Saccharomyces cerevisiae S288C: one gene and its partner. The protein of the gene in region 1 binds, or shares a complex with, the protein of each later gene. Each region holds a gene or a part of one and is shown on either strand. Other genes may lie near its edges. The genes, in order: RPN6 and RPN8. A codon is read from its position in the direction of its gene.

Evidence for each region.
Region 2: the proteins of RPN6 (region 1) and RPN8 are in contact, whole or in part, in a cryo-EM structure (PDB 3J47), measured with the Saccharomyces cerevisiae proteins. Residues at the interface, in NP_010186.1 of Saccharomyces cerevisiae: Thr408 (codon at 584), Ala412 (codon at 572), Leu415 (codon at 563), Val416 (codon at 560), Leu419 (codon at 551), Asn420 (codon at 548), Val422 (codon at 542), Val423 (codon at 539), Leu426 (codon at 530), Phe427 (codon at 527), Lys429 (codon at 521), Ala430 (codon at 518); in NP_014904.3 of Saccharomyces cerevisiae: Val275 (codon at 1,026), Ile278 (codon at 1,017), Val282 (codon at 1,005), Arg283 (codon at 1,002), Ile285 (codon at 996), Ile286 (codon at 993), Asp289 (codon at 984), Ile292 (codon at 975), Glu293 (codon at 972), Ile296 (codon at 963), Gln297 (codon at 960), Lys299 (codon at 954), Lys300 (codon at 951).

The regions. Positions count from the first base shown.
Region 1 is NC_001136.10:284,891-288,621, forward strand, and holds RPN6 (proteasome regulatory particle lid subunit RPN6), read right to left. Parts: upstream 1,806-3,731; coding exon 501-1,805; downstream 1-500. Other genes in the region: U4/U6-U5 snRNP complex subunit SNU23, read right to left, coding at 1-275; dolichyl-phosphate-mannose-protein mannosyltransferase PMT1, read left to right, coding at 2,169-3,731. UniProt on the Saccharomyces cerevisiae protein: Component of the lid subcomplex of the 26S proteasome, a multiprotein complex involved in the ATP-dependent degradation of ubiquitinated proteins. In the complex, RPN6 is required for proteasome assembly.
Region 2 is NC_001147.6:815,084-818,779, forward strand, and holds RPN8 (proteasome regulatory particle lid subunit RPN8), read right to left. Parts: upstream 1,849-3,696; coding exon 832-1,848; downstream 1-831. Other genes in the region: GCD1 (translation initiation factor eIF2B subunit gamma), read left to right, coding at 1-637; GTPase GPN2, read left to right, coding at 2,209-3,252. UniProt on the Saccharomyces cerevisiae protein: Acts as a regulatory subunit of the 26S proteasome which is involved in the ATP-dependent degradation of ubiquitinated proteins.

The DNA of each region.
Region 1 (3,731 bases):
GTGTCTTTGAAGGTTAGGTTACAAATATCGCAGTAAAATCCGAACTTCTTTCCCCTCTTGAAAGACGATAAGCTCTCTGTATTTGCTGTTAGTTTCCTTTTATTTAGGTCTTTTAGCGAGCCCTTGATTAAATGATCGTAATTTGTATATTTGGATTTTAAAGCTTGTAATTCAATCGGTGTTAGCGTAGCCTTTAAGGATCGATCGTCATAGCCGCTTCTAGCCTGCTCAGCATACTCCTCTCTATCCCAAGTTCTTCTGCCAAAATTCGACATTAGCTTTCTCGAATTTTTGTCAGCTAAGGCTTGTAGGAACTTCTGGTTTTGATGAACTTTCGCATCAACTGTTTTCTATTTAGCGGCGCATTCGATTAAACTTCTTCCTTTCTTAGGAGAAAAAAAAGAAAAATCATACTTATGTATTTTCTGCATTTTATAAGTTTATTTAGGAATTCTTACTCTGGTACTTGTGAGTATACATACATATATATACATGTAAACCTAATACAAGACACTTGCCTTTTCAAATAGTTGATCGACGACTTTATTTAGTTGCCCGACTAATTCCAATGCAGAGTCGTACGTGGCATCCTGATTCGGAGTTTCGTAAACGTAAAGCCAACCATTACCTTGATCCAGAACACCGTAGAATATCTTATCTAGTATCATTTGGGAGAGCTTTCCTTCAACTTGTTGAGTATCCAGACCGATTATTTTGGAAATGTGGGATATTTCCACACATTCAAATGGCTCAATAATCTTACACAAATTGGACTCTAATAACGTGTCGTATAATGCATTGAAATGGGATCTTGTTAGTTCATCGCCCATTAGTTCCTTCTCGTATTGCTTTAGCGCCGTGTTGAAGTCTAAAAGCGATCTGTTGTTATAAGCCTCAGCGACAGCTTTCATGGCATCAATGCCTCGGGACTGGTACGTTTCCTTTGTGTATTTTGCGTTTAGGATGTTTTTTACGTCATCAATAAGGTTCAGCATGATCTTAGACAATAGCATGTATTTCAACACTTGACATGCCTTTTCGTAGGAATTATGCGTAGTCAAATTGTGGTAGCTTTCAAAACTTTCGAAGAAATACGAAAATGCAGTTTTGTAGTCTTTATCTTCACAGTGCAGGATACCACTCATCAAGTCCAGCTCCGCAACTGTTTGTGTAGGACAGTATATGGAGTTAGCGGCCGTCCTTGCTGCAGTCAACGAGGCCTTGGACTTGGCTAGATTCCTCAGTTTATGGTAAACTTTACTTTCCAATAGATGTACATCAACCAAAGAGGGCTTGTCGTCCAGCTTTTTGAACTCCCTCAAAAGATCGTTAATCAATGCTAATGAGTCCTTGTACTGTTTCTTTTGATAATGTAAGGTGGCCAATTTGATCGAGAGTGAATGCTTCAAAAACACCCTTTTTTCTCTCTTGGCAAATTCGATGCTTTTCTCGCACACAAAGATCTGATCGTCCAAGGAGTCCGGCACTTGCTCGAATTTTTCAATCAACGTTTTCAATACCTTTACCGTTTTGGATTTGGCAAATTGCATCATATACTCCGTAGAATGAGGAATAAACTCGCGCAATTTGTCCTTTGCACCCATAGTCACGTATAACTGTCCTAATTCCAATATGCTTGTCTCCTGTTCATTTCTACGCTTGTCATCCACACTGGCACCGGCAGCGGCGCTGCTCTGTGAGCTGTCTTTATCCAGCAGGCTCAAATAGACTTGTTCTGCCTCATTATACTGTTTTTCATTAACCAGTCTCCTGGCCTCTTCTAATTTCGAACCTGGCAGAGACATGAAGTTCCTCGTTTATAGATTAATCACCAATTGTCCTCTTTCAGCGCTTCTGTTAGTTGGCCTTATTTAACGGATCTTTGCTTCAATTACGCTTTCTACCAACATTTGCCACCCTTGGAACCAGAAGAGAATATACATCATTCGGGGTTGCCCTGCCCATTTATATCGTATATTGTGATGATATACCTTTTTTTTTTTTTTCGCTGCGTTTTTTTTCTCGACACGTGTCGAAGAAGAGTTTGGCGTTTCTAAGCAGATCTTGATTATTTTCGAGCAGCAAAACAAGACAAACAGGTGCATTGTTAAAGCGAGGTAGTATCAGAAGAGCCTATCAAGAAACAGCTAACAGCTACAAGCACGGTCATGTCGGAAGAGAAAACGTACAAACGTGTAGAGCAGGATGATCCCGTGCCCGAACTGGATATCAAGCAGGGCCCCGTAAGACCCTTTATTGTTACCGATCCGAGTGCCGAATTGGCCTCGTTACGAACCATGGTCACTCTTAAAGAGAAGCTGTTAGTGGCCTGTCTTGCTGTCTTTACAGCGGTCATTAGATTGCATGGCTTGGCATGGCCTGACAGCGTGGTGTTTGATGAAGTACATTTCGGTGGGTTTGCCTCGCAATACATTAGGGGGACTTACTTCATGGATGTGCATCCTCCTCTTGCAAAGATGTTGTATGCTGGTGTGGCATCGCTTGGTGGGTTCCAGGGTGATTTTGACTTCGAAAATATTGGTGACAGCTTTCCATCTACGACGCCATACGTGTTGATGAGATTTTTCTCTGCTTCTTTGGGGGCTCTTACTGTTATTTTGATGTACATGACTTTACGTTATTCTGGTGTTCGTATGTGGGTTGCTTTGATGAGCGCTATCTGCTTTGCCGTTGAAAACTCGTACGTCACTATTTCTCGTTACATTCTGTTGGACGCCCCATTGATGTTTTTCATTGCAGCTGCAGTCTACTCTTTCAAGAAATACGAAATGTACCCTGCCAACTCGCTCAATGCTTACAAGTCCTTGCTTGCTACTGGTATTGCTCTTGGTATGGCATCTTCATCCAAATGGGTTGGTCTTTTCACGGTTACATGGGTGGGTCTTTTATGTATCTGGAGACTATGGTTCATGATTGGGGATTTGACTAAGTCTTCCAAGTCCATCTTCAAAGTAGCATTTGCCAAATTGGCCTTCTTGTTGGGTGTGCCTTTTGCCCTTTATCTGGTCTTCTTTTATATCCACTTCCAATCATTAACTTTGGACGGGGATGGCGCAAGCTTCTTTTCGCCTGAATTTAGATCTACACTAAAGAACAATAAGATCCCCCAAAATGTCGTTGCTGATGTCGGCATTGGCTCCATTATCAGCTTGCGTCATCTCTCTACCATGGGCGGTTATTTGCATTCTCATTCACACAATTATCCAGCTGGTTCGGAACAACAACAAAGCACTTTATATCCTCACATGGATGCCAATAACGATTGGTTGTTGGAACTTTACAACGCACCCGGCGAATCTTTAACAACATTCCAAAACCTAACCGATGGTACCAAGGTCAGACTATTCCACACTGTTACAAGATGTAGATTACACTCTCATGACCATAAGCCACCCGTTTCAGAAAGCAGCGACTGGCAGAAGGAGGTTTCTTGTTATGGTTACAGCGGATTCGACGGTGATGCTAATGATGACTGGGTTGTTGAGATTGATAAAAAGAATTCTGCTCCTGGAGTTGCCCAAGAACGGGTCATAGCTTTGGACACAAAGTTTAGATTGAGACATGCTATGACAGGCTGTTATTTGTTTTCCCACGAAGTCAAGTTGCCAGCTTGGGGGTTCGAACAACAAGAAGTTACCTGTGCCTCCTCCGGTAGACATGATTTAACATTGTGGTACGTTGAGAACAACAGTAACCCATTGTTACCAGAA
Region 2 (3,696 bases), on another chromosome or scaffold:
ATCTCGTCGTTCGTGGCAACATTCGAAACCGAGGGAACCAATAGGTATTTTTATTTTACCAAACGAAACCTTGTTCATCAGAGCCAATAACTTGAATGCTTACATGGACGCTAATAGATTTGTACTAAAGATAAAATCACAAACGATGTTCACGAAAAATATACAGATTCAATCTGCCGCTATCGGTGCTGATGCCATAGTAGATCCCAAATGCCAAATCTCTGCTCATAGTAATGTCAAGATGTCTGTTCTCGGTACTCAGGCCAATATTGGTTCCAGATGTCGTGTTGCAGGGTCTCTCTTATTTCCTGGAGTCCATCTTGGTGACGAAGTAATCCTGGAAAATTGTATTATTGGACCTATGGCAAAAATCGGTTCAAAGTGTAAACTCAGCAATTGTTATATCGAAGGCCATTATGTTGTGGAGCCTAAAAATAACTTTAAAGGTGAAACACTGGCCAACGTTTATTTGGATGAAGATGAGGAGGACGAGTTAATATATGATGATAGTGTTATTGCTGGAGAAAGTGAAATCGCCGAAGAAACTGACAGTGATGATAGAAGCGATGAAGATTCTGATGATAGTGAATATACCGACGAGTACGAGTACGAAGATGACGGATTATTTGAGCGTTAATATAAACTTATGTATATTCCTTCAGTCTCTTTAATAGAGACCAAGTAAGTAAGTGGACGAGAATAGAGGCGATATTATGCATTTATATTTGAAATTCAACAGAACATAATTATGCTTAAGCAAATTAACATGTTGTATTAATACATAGCGTTTTACACATCTATTTCATATATTATGTTATGTTAATTTTTGAATTAATTTTTCTTGTTCTTTCGTTGGATCAATGGCGCAGTTGCTTCTTTGTCACCACTCTCACTCTCACTGTCATCAGAGACTTTTGATTGTTTGTCCTTTACTCTTTGTTCTTGAATTTTTTTATTTTGAATTTTGTTTTCAATCAAATCATCAAACGCGATAATTGACCTAACCAAATTGCTTATATATATAACCATTAATTCATCATTAGTTTTCACAGTTAAAGCCTTTTGTAAGTTATTTGAAATATTAATTCTGTCATGATTCTCCACATCTATTTCGTCATCATCAGGTGTTCCCAGATTTGGTAAAAGGTTGAAAACATCTTGTAGCTTGCCCAATATAGTGTGGTTTATCGGTAATTCCTTATTAATGACTTTGTCTAAGTACTCGACAACGTCTTTTAGTTTGCTTTGTAATCCTTTCAAAGATTTTAATTGGTTGGTCAACCGGATAGATAAGCCACCTGCTGCTTGATCACGTACGTCTCTCAATAAGTGTTCTACACCAATTTCTTCAGCTTCTTCGGCCTCAATAGTACAAGGCAAATGAAGAAACGTCTTTTCTGTAGACGTACCATCATCCTTAACTTGCTCAATCGCGACATATGCATCTGTTGGTAAACCAACACCTTGTTGTTTGACATCAACAATTAATAATAGCGGATTATTCTGAGTATATTTTTTAAACAGCTCATTAATCTTGAGGTCAGAAGCCCTTAATTTAGGACCACTATGATACCATCCAATGAGTTTTTCCTTGGCATTAATCTTTTTACACATTTCATTCATGTTTTCAATATAATTATGGTCTAAAAACCACACGTCAGAGTTTTTCTCATCTTCTTCAAACGGTAAGGCAAAGGAATTAGTGACTCTGATAGTGGAACTGTTAGCATCACCTAAGATGACACCAACGCATCTTTTGTTTTCTTTTGTCTGCGTACGCTCATAATGATCCAAAGCAGATAGCAAAACTAGTGGTGCAATGGTAACTTTCTCGTGTTGTAGAGACATTGTAATTTGATTTTCCTTTCTTTCTTTCTTTTTTTAAATTCGAAAAATGCCCTCAATCAGTAGCAGTTGTACAGAAAGCCAACGTTACACTATAGATTGCTTAGCTGTTGGCTTCACAATTATTTCATTGTAGATTCTACGTTACGTGCAACTTGAGTAACGATTTGCCACTGAGGTATCCCCGAACTTTAGTAAAATCAAATTTCGTAATAAGTGATTAGGAATATTGCTACTTAAAGTAAGTGATGCTCATTGAAAGATTGCATTGTGAGTCTTCACTACTTACCGTAATAGAATGGTTTGTTTTCATTTGATTGTTGTTGTGTCAATAGTTTTGATTTTCTACTAGAGAGTACAATAATGCCCTTCGCTCAGATTGTTATTGGTCCACCAGGTTCAGGGAAGTCAACCTATTGCAACGGCTGCTCACAGTTCTTCAATGCCATCGGAAGACATTCCCAGGTAGTGAATATGGATCCTGCTAATGATGCCTTACCTTACCCATGCGCTGTGGATATTCGTGATTTTATAACATTAGAGGAGATCATGCAAGAGCAACAGTTAGGCCCTAATGGAGGTTTGATGTATGCTGTTGAATCATTGGATAATTCTATTGATTTGTTCATTTTACAGATCAAGTCACTTGTAGAAGAAGAAAAAGCATATCTTGTATTCGACTGTCCGGGCCAAGTGGAGCTATTTACTCATCACTCATCTTTGTTCAACATCTTTAAAAAAATGGAAAAGGAATTGGACATTAGGTTTTGTGTTGTAAATTTGATTGACTGTTTTTACATGACATCCCCTTCACAATATATCTCGATTTTGTTACTTGCATTGAGGTCTATGTTAATGATGGATCTCCCTCACATCAACGTTTTTTCTAAAATAGATATGCTGAAATCATACGGAGAATTACCCTTTAGATTAGACTATTATACAGAGGTCCAGGATCTGGATTATTTGGAGCCATATATTGAAAAGGAAGGCTCTAGTGTACTGGGAAAGAAATATAGCAAGTTAACTGAAACAATCAAAGAGCTAGTCTCAGATTTCAACTTAGTATCATTTGAGGTTTTGTCCGTGGATGACAAAGAAAGTATGATAAATCTTCAAGGTGTTATAGATAAAGCAAATGGCTACATATTCGGCGCATCCGAAGTTGGTGGTGATACCGTGTGGGCTGAGGCTTCGCGAGAAGGTGCATTAATAGCGAATTACGACATTCAAGACAGGTGGATAGACAATAAAGAGAAGTATGATAAAGAAGAAGAAGAAAAACGTACGGCGTTGTTAAAAGAACAAGAATTGCAAAATAAAGCTGTTGATGTGAATGAAGAAGATGAGTGGGAAAATGCGCTGAAGGAGTGGGAAGAGAAACAAGGAATGGATTTTGTTAGGTAGCGTGTTCAGGTATCTTTTTCTCGTTCAGCCGTGGAACTTAATTCAAAATTGAAAATTGTATACAGAGTATATATGCATATAATTGAAAGCAGCTTACTACGAAATGTTCTTGAATTGCTGGCCGAGTTGCAAATCAGCTGCAAAGGACAGAACCCTATGTCTGAACATGATTGCTTTCGTACCCTGAAAGCCAGCGCTACTAATTAACCAGGTTGACCAGCCTTCACTCATTCGCGGCGACAGCAAAAGCGGAAGAAGAAAAAAATAACCAGCAAACTGTCAATGGGTTTCTAGGAGGAAAAAGAACAAGTTAAAAATGATTAGCACCAACAACGTTGCCTATATCTGTCATTGGGCAGCTGTGCGGGGATTCTAAGGTTTTTGCGCAGATCGTGATATAAAATGTTGTAAAAATGGTTTGCTACTCTATATTGATGAAGTTTT